Macaca fascicularis: one gene and its partner. The protein of the gene in region 2 interacts with the protein of the main gene of each other region in a pairwise test. Links are inferred from orthologs where the notes say so. Each region holds a gene or a part of one and is shown on either strand. Other genes may lie near its edges. The genes, in order: RPLP1 and NUDT21.

The links.
Region 1: the proteins of NUDT21 (region 2) and RPLP1 interact in a two-hybrid assay, tested with the Homo sapiens proteins (2 studies listed by BioGRID and IntAct). The link is inferred for Macaca fascicularis from reciprocal best matches to the Homo sapiens genes NUDT21 and RPLP1.

What each region holds. Positions count from the first base shown.
Region 1 is NC_088381.1:46,246,467-46,253,521, reverse strand, and holds RPLP1 (large ribosomal subunit protein P1), read right to left. Parts: upstream 3,740-7,055; 5' UTR 3,610-3,739; coding exon 3,538-3,609; intron 2,898-3,537; coding exon 2,823-2,897; intron 1,693-2,822; coding exon 1,575-1,692; intron 1,435-1,574; coding exon 1,355-1,434; 3' UTR 1,316-1,354; downstream 1-1,315. UniProt on the Homo sapiens protein: Plays an important role in the elongation step of protein synthesis.
Region 2 is NC_088394.1:52,507,847-52,514,114, forward strand, and holds part of NUDT21 (cleavage and polyadenylation specificity factor subunit 5), read right to left. Parts: intron 3,193-6,268; coding exon 2,992-3,192; intron 1,892-2,991; coding exon 1,828-1,891; intron 1-1,827. UniProt on the Homo sapiens protein: Component of the cleavage factor Im (CFIm) complex that functions as an activator of the pre-mRNA 3'-end cleavage and polyadenylation processing required for the maturation of pre-mRNA into functional mRNAs.

The DNA of each region.
Region 1 (7,055 bases), on a different chromosome or scaffold from region 2:
GAAGTGGGATGATTGATTTGAGCCTGGGAGTTTGAAGCTGCAGTAAGCCATGACTGCACCAATGCATTCCAGCCTAGAACCCCTCTCAAAAAACTTAAAACTCTTTAATACTGACACCTACATACTCCTACCCATTGTTAACTGCACCTTACTCAAGATCCTAAATTGTTCACCATCCCATCTTTTATATTTCTCTTATCAGATGCATATACTTAATGTCTTTGCTCAAAGTGTTGCTTTGAACATTCCCAGGCATGTATCCTCATGTCCACATGTAGTTTCTCTTGAAGTAGAACTGCCATTTTCCCCAAGTAGTTGCAGTAACTTATACAAATGGTCTTTTTCACATTGACATGACAGCCCCGGCTAGAAGTCATGCTTTTCATCACTGAATGTCTTCATCTATTAAATGCTAATGCAGATAAGGATAAGACTCATTCATGTGCCTGGCATGTCATTAGCTGCTCTGAATACACAATACCCATGGTTTATTATATAATCCAAGCCTGAAAAGTCGAAATTTCCATTCATGGTATTTTTTTTTTTTTTTTTTTTGAGACGGAGTCTCGCTCTGTCACCCAGGCTGGAGTGCCCGGCTAGTTTTTTGTATTTTTTAGTAGAGACGTGGGGTTTCACTGTGTTAGCCAGGATGGTCTCGATCTCCTGACCTTGTGATCCGCCCGTCTCGGCCTCCCAAAGTGCTGGGATTACAGGCTTGAGCCACCGCGCCCGGCCTCATGGTATTATTAATTGGCAAACAAAAAAAGCTCTTAGCTTTTGGAACCCAGGTTTGAATCTTGTTTTATCCACTTTGTGTAACTGGGGACCTTAATAAACTATGAAGTAAACTTTCTGCATTCCTTCAGTGTTACCCAAGCATTTGGTGAGACATTACACAGCTAGGTCTTAGTTTCTTTACAACCTTGGGATGTAGCAGTCAATTCAGCATAGGTCAAAGTTCATTATTAGGCAGGGTTGTATAGGGTAATTACCCAGGAGGCTTTCTAATGCTGGTCTGTATTACCCTCTGCCCCCAGTGGAGGGGACACACCTTATAATCCTCAAGTTTATACAGGTAACCTGGACAAAGCAAGCATCTGCTCTGATCTTTCCTCCTGACACCCCAGTGCAGTTTTTAACACTGTACCATGAGGTGCCTTCTTGTTAGCATCAGGATTGTGTATAATCTCACATCTGGCAACGGTGGCAGGGAAAATCCAGCCTGTCATGGCAGAATAGGTTGAAAGCCAACATTACAAAACTGATACCATTTTTGCAGAGCGCATTCCCAAGCTATGGGCAAGACCAACAGCAGTAAAGTTCAGCTTTTTATTGAACACGTTATAAAAGAGATTTAGTCAAAAAGACCAAAGCCCATGTCATCATCAGATTCCTCCGATTCTTCTTTCTTTGCTTCCACTTTCTTCTCCTCAGCTAGAAAAAAAACAGTCAGGTGTTAGGATTTCCATACATCATCTGCTTGTGGAAAATTAATGGCAATTTTACCTATAATACTATATATATTTTTTAAATCTCTACACTCCTCCCAATACTAGAAACTCCATGTTTCCTACCTGGAGCAGCAGCAGTGGAGGGGGCAGGACCTCCTGCTGGTGCAGCACCAGCTGCTGGAGCAGGTCCACCAGCCCCTACATTGCAGATGAGGCTCCCAATGTTGACATTGGCCAGGGCCTGCAATACATGTGCATGCATAGGTAAATGCCCGGTTCTGTCCTTGTTACACAGCACTCACGCACCAAAAACGAAAAGTATCCCCCCTTCCAGGTTACAGTGATCAACCCCTAACACTATATACAGTGGGTTCCACATCCATGGTTTCAACAGTGGAAACGCATGCATACCAAACATGTAGACTTCCAAAGTATACAGGAGGATGTGCATAGGTTATATGCAAATACATTTATATAAGAGATGGAACATCCTGGGATTTTGTTATTAGTGGAAGGCCCTGGAATCAATACCCTAGACACTGGCTTTTCTTTGCTAACAGCAAAAACTTAGGTTAGACAGGGCAACACACTACTGTTCAGCTTTCAATCGTTCAGCTTTGAATCTGATAATTACTTTCCTATATGTTAAGAACCTCCTGAGGTAGCTGATTTCCCCTCCTTTTACAAATAACATGTTGGCAAAAAAATAATCCAAACTTCCTGAAACACTCAAATGAATATTCTTTGCACAATTCCATGTCTCCTCTGAACAGTGAACTCAAATTTTCAGTCTTCTAAACATAGGACTTAAAGATGACATAGATACAATGTTTACAATCTTTCAAAACTCTTTAGAGGACACAACCCCGGAGTTAGATGCTATCAGCTTAACTTGCCAGAGATTAAGTAACCTGTACAATGGAAAATAGCCAGTGCAAGCTCCATGACCAGGAATCTCGTCTTTATTAGTCTTTTATATCCCAACACATAGTACCTACTGTGTCAATAAAGTCCGCTAAACCCAAATGTCCATTAAACCACAGGTTTAATGCAAGAATTTGCTTGCAACTTTAACATGGGTAGTACCTATCTCCCGGGTGATCCTTTTTGGGAATCAATGACCTGATTCAGATTTTTTTTTTTTTTGACCATGGTTTCAGAGCAAAAGGGGAAACCAGAGTCTGATAAGGAAACATAAGACTTGAGAAACTGAAATCTTCTTAGCTCCTAGAGATATAAATGCAACCAAATACACCTAGGAGATCCAGCGGCATGTGGGGCCTTATGGCACTGCTGGAGGTACTTCAGCATGTACACCTGCCCTCGTAAATCAGCAGGCTTTACCACATCACTTTGCCACCATCACCTTACCTTTGCAAACAAGCCAGGCCAAAAAGGTTCAACATTTACACCGGCTGCTTTAATGAGGGCATTGATCTTATCCTCCTACAACAAATAAAAACGTCAATCCATCAAAACATAGCGTATGTAGTATCTCCAAAACGCTGCAAGTCAAAGGCAAGTCACTCAATAAAAAGTGTACAGGACATGTTTAACCAGCTCAAATATTCTATCACAAGCAAAAGAGATGTGTGCCAGGCGCCCTGCAATGAGGCGAGCCCATCACTGCTGTTTCACGGGCTGGGACTTGCCTGAGTCACGCGGCTATTTTTAAGTTAGGACCTGGAAGGTGGAGCCGAGCTGGGGCGCTATCCTCCACGACCCGGGGAATTCAAGGCAATTATACCAAAAGAGTTCCAAGTAAGTGTCCCTGAGAGAGACGAGGCGCGGGTCAGGGTGCCCAAGCGCTGCGGAAAAGCTTTTCTACACGAAGGATCTTGGAGCCGGAGAGCCCAGCCTCAAGCGCACTCCACGCCCCCCGGGCCCGCACGTGGTCCCGGGGGCCCAGGTCCCGCTCTGCGAGAGAGGCCCCAGCCCCCAGGAGCGCCCGCCCCATGCCGCCTGTCTTCGCGGCCTGGCCCCGGCCGGAAGTGCTGGGCCCAACGGCCTGGAGCCCGGAACCGCATGGAGAGGCGGGAGTCGCCGCCCACAGGCAGCCAGGCCGCCGACCCGCGCCCGCACTCACCGTGACGGTCACCTCATCGTCATGCAGAATGAGGGCCGAGTAGATGCAGGCGAGCTCGGAGACGGAGGCCATAGCGCGGGCAAGTGTGGGGCTGGCGCTGCCGGACGCGGTGCTAGTCGCCGGATGAAGTGAGGCCCTCACTCCAACGCGGCCTTAGCTTTCTCGGAAGGACCGAGCACCTTCGCGACAGCTGAGGAAAGAGGTTCTTGCGCCTATGCGCAGTCTCTTATGTGACCACGCGGACCAATCGGCGCCCGCACCGGGCGGAAGAGGCGGACCCAGGACCGATTGAAGACGCCTGCGCGCTGCGCCTGCTTCGTTCTTCCTGTTGAGAAAGTTTCTCAGCGCCAACAGTTACGGTCTCACTTTATTTTCTTAAATTATAGGACTTGAGACGGTTAAAAACACTTTTAGGATAGGGTTGCGTAGGTATTCGGACTTCGCCGCCGTTGGTTCCATGAGCTGCTTGACTTGGCAGGAGCTGCGCTGTGGCCGTGGTGACACTGTTCGTAATCTCCCAGTTAGGTCGCGGCCTTCCCAGCCGGCGCTGACCCTGAGGGTAAAGGCTGCGTCCCACCATGGACGTCGCTGCTTAGCGCTGGGCCTTGGGTGAGATAGATAGATGTAGGTAGATGTAGGAGGACAAGCAAACTAACGGCATTATGATAGCAGTAGCCGTGGAGCGCTTACTATATCCCAGTAACTGAGCCACATTCTACAAGGATTCACGTAATCCTCACACAGCAGGAGTTGGATGTTATCTCCATCTTGCAGATGGCAAAATTAAGTCTTAGAGCCGATAACTAGCCCAAGATAGTGTAGTTACCGCGCGGTGGAGCGTGGAGTTGGAATCTAGAAGCCTTAGACCTGGTAACTAACCCAAGGTTGCATAGTTCCGCGCGGTGGAGCGTGGAGTTGGAATCCAGAAGCCTAACTTCACCGCCTAGTGCTTCGGGGAAGGGGGATTATGGGTAAATTGTATACAACCTGTTATTTGTTATCTGAACCCAATTTAAATTCCTACCTTCAAAAATGGTCACCTTTACATTGCTCGTGGAATTTGCTTAGTTTACTGGAAAGTTAGTTCAAGATTTTTTTTTTTTCGGGAACCTTCATTTAGTCCATCCCATTATTTAATAATCATCTCTGATGAAACATTTCTGTTGGAATCCACCAATCTAGAGTCCTATTTGGGTCAATCTTAACTACAAACAAATAGTTTCATATCCCGAATTTTTTTAAAAAAGTTTTTATAAAGCTATCAAACTTTTTAAAAATAAAGCTACTGAGTTTTCATCCAAATCTAAGAAGCCATTATAGTGGAATTTTGGTCAAGAAAGCTTAAAGCTATTTAAAAATCCAAACATTTCCAAAGCTACAATGAGTCAGTCCAAAATACTGTGTACCTCCAGCAGTGTACTTAAAAAACTGATCTGCCGGGCGCGATGGCTCATGCCTGCAATTCCAGCAGTTTGGGAGGCTGAGGCGGGTGGATCGCCTGAGGTCAGGAGTTCGAGACCAGCCTGGCCAACATAGTGAAACCTCGTCTCTACTTAAAAAACAAAAAAATAGCTGGGCGTGGTGGCGGGTGCCTGTAATACCAGCTGCTAGGGAAGCTGAGGCAGGAGAATCGCTTGAACCCGAGAGGCGGAGGTTGCAGTGAGCCGAGATCGTGCCATTGCATTCCAGCTTGGGCAACAAGAGCAAAACTCCGTCTCAAACAAACAAAAAAAAACTGATCTGGTTGGCAAGTGGCACTTTGTGGTCACTGAGGAAATAATCGTTTTCTCCACGTATACGCACTTTTACAGGGTATCAAACAGTAAGCACTAACCACAGCTATTAAAGAGAAGTAGCTAAGCAAAATGTCAGTACTCATGCATTTCCTTTTGTGTTGTTGAAGGACTTAGTGCATTCAACAGTTACTTCAGACAAATTCCACTGCCCCATATTCTCCTATCATAGTAAAAATTTCCCATTAATATTTTGAAAATACTATGCAATAAGCCATTTAAAATTTTTTTTTTCCTGAGACGGAGTTTTGCTCGTTCCCCAGGCTGGAGTGCAATGGCGCGATCTCGGCTCACTGCAACCTCTGCCTCCCAGGTTCAAGCTATTCTCCTGCCACAGCCTCCAGAGTAGCTTGGATTACAGTCGCGTGCCACCACGCCTGGCTAATTTTTTGTATTTTTAATAGAAATGGGGTTTCACCATGTTGGCCAGGCTGGTCTCAAACTCCTAACCTCAGGTGATTCGCCCATCTTGGCTTCCCAAAGTGCTGGGATTACAGGCGTGAACCACTGCGTCTGGCTAAATTTTTTTTTTTTTTTTTTCAAGTGGGTTGGGACAGGGCATGGTGGCTCATGCCTGCAATTCAAGTACTTTGGGGAGGCCAAGGCGGGAGGATTGCTTGAGCCCAGGAGTTCAAGACCAGCCTGGGGCAACATAGTGAGACCCAGTCCCTATTACTTTGTGGTTTTTTTTTTTTTTTTTTTTTTTTGAGCTAGGGTCTCATTCCATTGCCCAGGCTGGAGCACAGTGGCGCCATCACAGCTCACTGCAACCTCTGCCTCCCAGGCTCAGGCAATCCTCCCACCTCAGCCTCCCCTGTAGGTGGGACTACAGGTATGTGCCGCCATGCATGGCTAATTTTTAAATTGTAGGGATGGGATTTCAGCATGTTGCTCAGGCTGGTCTCGAACTGAGCTCAAGCCATCCTGTAGTGCTGGGATTACAGGTGTGAGCCACCATGCCCAGGCTGTCTCTGTTAAATAATAATTTAAAAAGCAGGCTGGGTAGTGACTCATGCCTGTAATCCTAGCACTTTGGGAGGCCAGGTTGGGAGGATTGCATGAGGTCAGGAGTTTGAGACTAGACAAGGCCACAGAGCAAGGCCCCATCTCTACAAAAATAAAAAATTAGCCAGATGTGCCGGCATTTGCCTGTAGTTGCAGCTACTCAAGAGGCTGAGAGGATTGCTTGAGCCTGGGAGGCTGAGACTACAGTGAGCTGTGATCATGTCATTGCACTCCCTTCTGGGTGACAGAATGAGATCCCATCTCAAAAAAGTAAGAAAAAAGCCAGCCTGGACAACACAGCAAGACCCCATCTCTACAAAAATAAAAAATTTTTTAATTAGCTGGGCATGGTGCTGAGCACCTGTGGTCCCAACTACTTGGGGGGCTGAGGCAGAAGGATCACTTGAGTCCAGGAGTTTGAGGTTATAGTGAGTCATGATTGCACTTCTGCATTTCAGCCTGTGCAACAGAGCAAGACCCTGTTTCTGAAAAAAAATTAAAAAACAAGAAAATCAAAAAATAAATTCTGTATCTACTAAAATAGCAATTTAACGTTTAGTGTTCTGAAGCATTCTAAAAACACACATATAGGCCAGGTGTGTTGGCTCACGCCTGTAATCCCAGCAGTTTGGGAAGCTGAGAAGGGCTTATCACCTGAGGTTGGGAGTTTGAGACCAGCCTGACCAACATGGAGAAACCCTGTCTCTACTAAAAATACAA
Region 2 (6,268 bases):
ATTGAACATCCCAATCTGAAACTCCAAAATCTCAAACTTTTTGAGCACTGAAATGATGTTCAAAGGAAATGCTCAGGCCGGGTACGGTGGCGCACGCCTGTAATCCCAGCACTTTGGAAGGCCAAGGAAGGCGGATCACCTGAGGTCAGGAGTTCCAGACCAGCCTGGCCAACATGGTGAAACCCCGTCTCCACTAAAACTACAAAAATTAACCAGGCATGGTGGCAGGTGCCTGTAATTCCATCTACTGGGGAGGGTGAGGCAGGAGAATCGCTTAAACCCGGGAGGTGGATGTTACAGTGAGCCGAGATTACACCATTGCACTCTAGCCTGGGTGACAAGAGAGAGACGTCGTCTCAAGAAAAAAAAAAAAAAAAAGGAAATGTTCATTGCAGCATTTCAAGTTTTGTATATGGGATGCTTAACTGGTAAGCATAATGCAAATATTCCAAAACCTGAAAAAAAATCCCAAATCCTAATCACTTTTTTTTAAATTTTTTTGCATATATAGTAGATGTATATATGTATGGGGTACACAAGATGTTTTGATACAGGCATGCAATGCATAATATTCACATCATGGAGAACAGGGTATCCACCCCCTCAAGCATTTATCCTTTGTGTTACAAACAATCCAATTATACTCTTTTAGTTATTTTAAAATTTACAATTAAGTGATTACTGACTATAATCACCCTATTGTGCTATCAAATAGTAGCTAAACACTTCTGGTCCCAAGCTCTCAGACAGGGAATACTCAACCTGTATAAATATACTTCATATATACTTTGAACCAGTCCAGTTTTCAGCCCATGCATGCCCCCACTTTCATAAGTACCTAGCACCTTCAGTTCCTCAGTCATTCTGGTACTCTGCAGTGTTGGATTCTGCCTGCCTGTCTGTTGGACTAAGGTTTCTGCCAAGTTAGTTATAATTTGCCCATCTGTTTTCCAGTTTCCAAAAATTTTGCTTTTGTGAGTCTCTCATTTTGCACTCCCTCAATCCTACTGCACTTACATCTTTGTACCAGACATTACATAAATGGAAGTCCAAGCACAGTAAATGTTTAAGAGTTATAATACATTTTTAGAAATACTAGAAAGACAAACCAATAGGTCAAAAGTAGGAGAATTACAGGTGACTTTAGTTTTGTTTCTCCTTTGCTTTTCTGTGTTTGCCAAGCTTTTTGCACAGAGAATGTATGAGTTTTGTAAAGGGGGCAGGCGGCAACTGCATGTTAAAGAAGAAAACAAACATTGAAAACAACTTACAGTCTCAAAATCCTCAGTATCTATGCATTTGGCCCCAAGTCTTTACATGCAGGCATTACAATGATTTTTTAAAAGTAGAATAATTTGGGCAAAGTCTAAAAAATATGTGAAAAAAGTGAAAACACAGGCGTCTTTCTCTTTTCAAAATTCCATAGAGGCCTACTCTTGAACAAAACTACCTGCATTCAAACCTCTAGCTCTACAACACACTAGCTATATAACAAGAAGTAATTTAAACTTATTAATATCTGCTTCCTAGAGTTGTGGTGGTGATTAAAGGAATTAGCACATGTAAAGCACTTAGAACAGTGTCTAGCACAGTAATACTTAAATGTCAGTTTTTATCATTGCTGTGACACAGTTTAACATTTTAAAAATTGAAGTAAGTGTAAGTTCAACTTGTAAAAAAAATCAACATTGTACTAACATTCTGGGGTTTAAGTTGTATTTATTGAAAACTCAATATTCCAAAATAAACATCCTTTTTACAAGACATTAAAAGCCAAATTAACTATTAAGTTGATGGTATGCAAAGTTAGGTTAAACAGAAAAATACCTCTGTCATTAAGCGTTTTAGTCCTTCAACTTCATCTTCTCCTGGGTTAAGTTCACCACCAGGTCTGTATAAAAGTTAAGAATTTCAGCTTTCAACTTAATGCAATTTGGAGATAACAAAGAACACAATAAATGTTATGTCTATCAAGTCACTAAGTAACATATTTCAGTGTAATAAGGCAATCAAAACAAGTATCAAAGTGAAGGGGGAGAATATGCTTGAATTCATGTCAATTCCCCAGACTAACAGTATACAAACCCTAGGTTTTTTTCCTCTTTGTATATATTTATTTTTATTTTATTGTCGATTCAAGGGGTACATGTACAAGTTTATTACATAGGTATATTGTGTAATGCTAAGGTTTAGGCTTCTAGTGAACCAATCACCAAAACAGTGAACATAACATCTAACAGGAAGTATTTCAACTCTCGCCTCTCCCTCCCGCTCCCCACCTTTGGAGTATACAGTGTTCATTTTTTCCAACTTTATGTCCATATGTACCCATCACATAAACCCTAGTTTTAAACCAACAGAATACATAACATAGCACAAACATAAACAAAATTGCTAACCACCAGTCCATCCCAATCTCGTCTCTGGAAGCTATCTGATGATAATGGAGTCTAGAAATGCCCAGAGAGGAATGGATCATATTCTTTAGGCCTAAACAATGGGACACTTTTTCAAGAGCGCCATCTAAGTATTGGAGACCTTTCTTTTTGGTATAATCTAGTCAAATAGTTGTGGATCAAATGTTTGAGAGATGCAGGAGCTTAAATGACAAAAAAATAAACTGTTATCCACAAAAACCTAAGTCATCTTAAGAATAGGAAATGCAAATCATACCAAGAAAGAAATACCAATTGTTCTTGGTGATGCTACAATGACATCTAGACATTGATCTTGAACTCAACTATTCCACAGGGTTTCTACCAAGCTCAATCACTAACATCGACAACATATAGAAACACGCAGATTACTAGTTAGGAAAATAAACGAGCACCGCAATGGAGAAAAATTACTCGTGATTTTCTCTTTTTAAAGACATCATTAACAGCAGTGTTTGTTGAAATAAATGACCGAGGGCTAAAATTGTAGTCCACAGCTGCATAAACAGCAATCCTACTAAAAACTGTCTTGCTGTTAATTTCCAACACTACTTACAGTTTGAAGAAAGTTGTTCCCAGCTGTAGCAGTAACACATGGGGTAGCCGGTGCTCATGTACAATCAGAACCCCTTCTACAGTCCTCCTCATTCCAATTTTATCAAATTCTTCCCTCATGCGCTGAAATCTGGCTGCCACAGAGCTGTCCTTCTCATAGAGGGGCTCTTTTGTACCAAAAGTATAATTGGTAAGAGGGTACCTGTGATCCAAAGACAAACATCTAACATGAGAACTGAAGAATATAATTTACCATGACAGACATTAGCATAAAGAAACCACAGTACAAAAAAAAAGTGCATATGTTGTACTCAGAGACACAGGATTTGTACAGTTACATAACTAAAGTTAATGAGACAGTAGAGATTGGAATCTTGTTCTCTGGACTCTTAAAGCCAGAGCTTCCGGCCGGGCGCGGTGGCTCAAGCCTGTAATCCCAGCACTTTGGGAGGCCGAGACGGGCGGATCACGAGGTCAGGAGATCGAGACCATCCTGGCTAACACGGTGAAACCCCGTCTCTACTAAAAAAAAAAAATACAGAAAACTAGCCGGGCGAAGTGGCGGGCGCCTGTAGTCCCAGCTACTTGGGAGGCTGAGACAGGAGAATGGCGTGAACCCGGGAGGCGGAGCTTGCAGTGAGCTGAGATCCCGCCACTGCACTCCAGCCTGGGCGGTGGCTCAAGCCTGTAATCCCAGCACTTTGGGAGGCCGAGGCGGGCGGATCACAAGGTCAGGAGATCGAGACCACAGTGAAACCCCGTCTCTACTAAAAATACAAAAAATTAGCCGGGCGCGGTGGCGGGCGCCTGTAGTCCTAGCTACTCAGGAGGCTGAGGCAGGAGAATGGCGTGAACCCAGGAGGCGGAGCTTGCAGTGAGCCGAGATCGCGCCACTGCACTCCAGCCTGGGCAACAGCGTGAGACTCCGTCTCAAAAAAAAAAAAAAAAAAAAGCCAGAGCTTCCATGAGATCAAGCTACTCCTCCATACTTTAACTTTCAAGTGTAGATAACACTATCCTTAAATGCTTAGAGAAATGGTTATCTGAACATTAGTAATCCTCTGGTTTTAGACCATGGCTGCTATTCCAACAAGACCAATTTGGCTAATAATTAATGTCCCCCTGCATTCCTCTGACTACTAATCTAATCAGAAAGTTTTAATTATGGGTGCTAATGGCTAATCTCTTTTTTCTAAAACTAAGCCACCACTTTTCATCAACATCCCTCCAGTTATTTTCTATTTCTCTCAGTCAACTATCCTCAGATTTTTCTTGCACCACAGCCTTTCCTTTTCACAGCAACTCTTCTACTTTCTCTTTCTGTCCTCTAACCCTATTTACTAGCCTTGGGCATTTATTCTATTCAGTCTCCTTATTGTTTCCTTCTCCTCATCTGAATCTTCTACCCACCCCTTTACCAAGAATTTAAAATATGGCTCAAACTGTTAAAGACAGTTTTCATCTTGCCTAATAAGGATCAAATTTTTCTTTAAAGATACTTAAAAATTCCATACTTATATGTCGTACGCCCTTAATTAAAGCCTTACAGCAAGAAGCCTTTGAGTAAGAATTTACGCCACATTTGCCCACCTATAGTATCTATTCTACCAAAAGCCCTTGACATTAATAGTCAACATTATTGCATCTACTACACTCAGCCATTCTTGAAAGGGGAAAAAAATCAAGGTTGCCAAAACTTTAAAAATTACTTTAAGGCCGGGCGCAGTGGCTCAAGCCTGTAATCCCAGCACTTTGGGAGGCCAAGACGGGCGGATCACGAGTTCAGGAGATCGAGACCATCCTGGCTAACACGGTGAAACCCCGTCTCTACTAAAATACAAAAAAAAAAAATTAGCCGGGCGAGGTGGCGGGCGCCTGTACTCCCAGCTACTCGGGAGGCTGAGGCAGGAGAATGGCGTGAACCCGGGAGGCGGGGCTTGCAGTGAGCTGAGATCCGGCCACTGCACTCCAGCCTGGGCAACAGAGCTAGACTCCGTCTCAAAAAAAAAAAAAAAAAAAAAAAATTAATTTCAGAAGCCAAGTTCTAGGCATATGAAAAAGCTATAAAAGAATTAAAATATACCATTTCAAGGATGCTTTAAAGATTTAAAGAACATCCCCAGTAGACCCAAGGCTAAATCTAACACCATCATCCATAGCAGCGGCAGATATGCTACACAGCACGATGTGCCAGGCAATTTTTTCAAACGCTTTACATATATTAACATTTAATTCTCACAACCTGAGTTAGAAAGAATTAAGGATAGCCATTACACATCTCTGTTGCAAGAGCCAGCTCCAATATATCAGTAATGTCAAGATGAAATGTCAGAATTTTCACCTGTGAAATCAGAGTGCCAGCCCAGACATACATATTGTTCTCATCATACTGTGAGCTTCATAAAGCAGGGGCTACACCTTACTTCCTCACCACTGTATATCCAGTATTGTGCACAGTGCCTGGCACAAAGTAGGCATTCATGCAATATTTCCTGAAAGAAAATATACTGGGGAGGCCGGGTGCGGTGGCTCAAGCCTGTAATCCCAGCACTTTGGGAGGCCGAGACGGGCGGATCACGAGGTCAGGAGATCGAGACCATCTTGGCTAACCCGGTGAAACCCCGTCTCTACTAAAAAATACAAAAAACTAGCCGGGCGAGGTGGCGGGCGCCTGTAGTCCCAGCTACTCAGGAGGCTGAGGCCGGAGAATGGCGTAAACCCGGGAGGCGGAGCTTGCAGTGAGCTGAGATCCGGCCACTGCACTCCAGCCTGGGTGACAGAGCGAGACTCCGTCTCAAAAAAAAAAAAAAAAAAAAAAAAAAAAAAAGAAAATATACTGGGGAGAGCGCATTTGTTTTCAACTTAATATTAACTCAGGTGAACTTAAGTTCACAACACAATGATTATTTCTGAATATTTATATTTATATAGGAGAAGAAATGTACTGTAAATCAACCCATAATTTTAATAGAGCGAAGATTAAAATCTTGCTGAAAGCTAACTATTTTGCCAAGTTAATTCTACATAATGGCTTGGTGCAAATTAATTCAGTAATCAAGACAAAACAAGAAAAGACTGTGGGTTTTAGCTCTAATCACCACTGAAAGTAACCCAGAAGCTGTGCTTTCATACTTTTAAAAAGGATAACATTTGCCTTTACCATTTGATGGATTTTTTTCTTAATTTTTAAAAACATTTTTGTAGAGACAGCCTATGTTGCCCAGACTTGTCTACAACTCCCGGCCTCAAGTGATCCTCCCACCTCGGCCTCCCAAGGT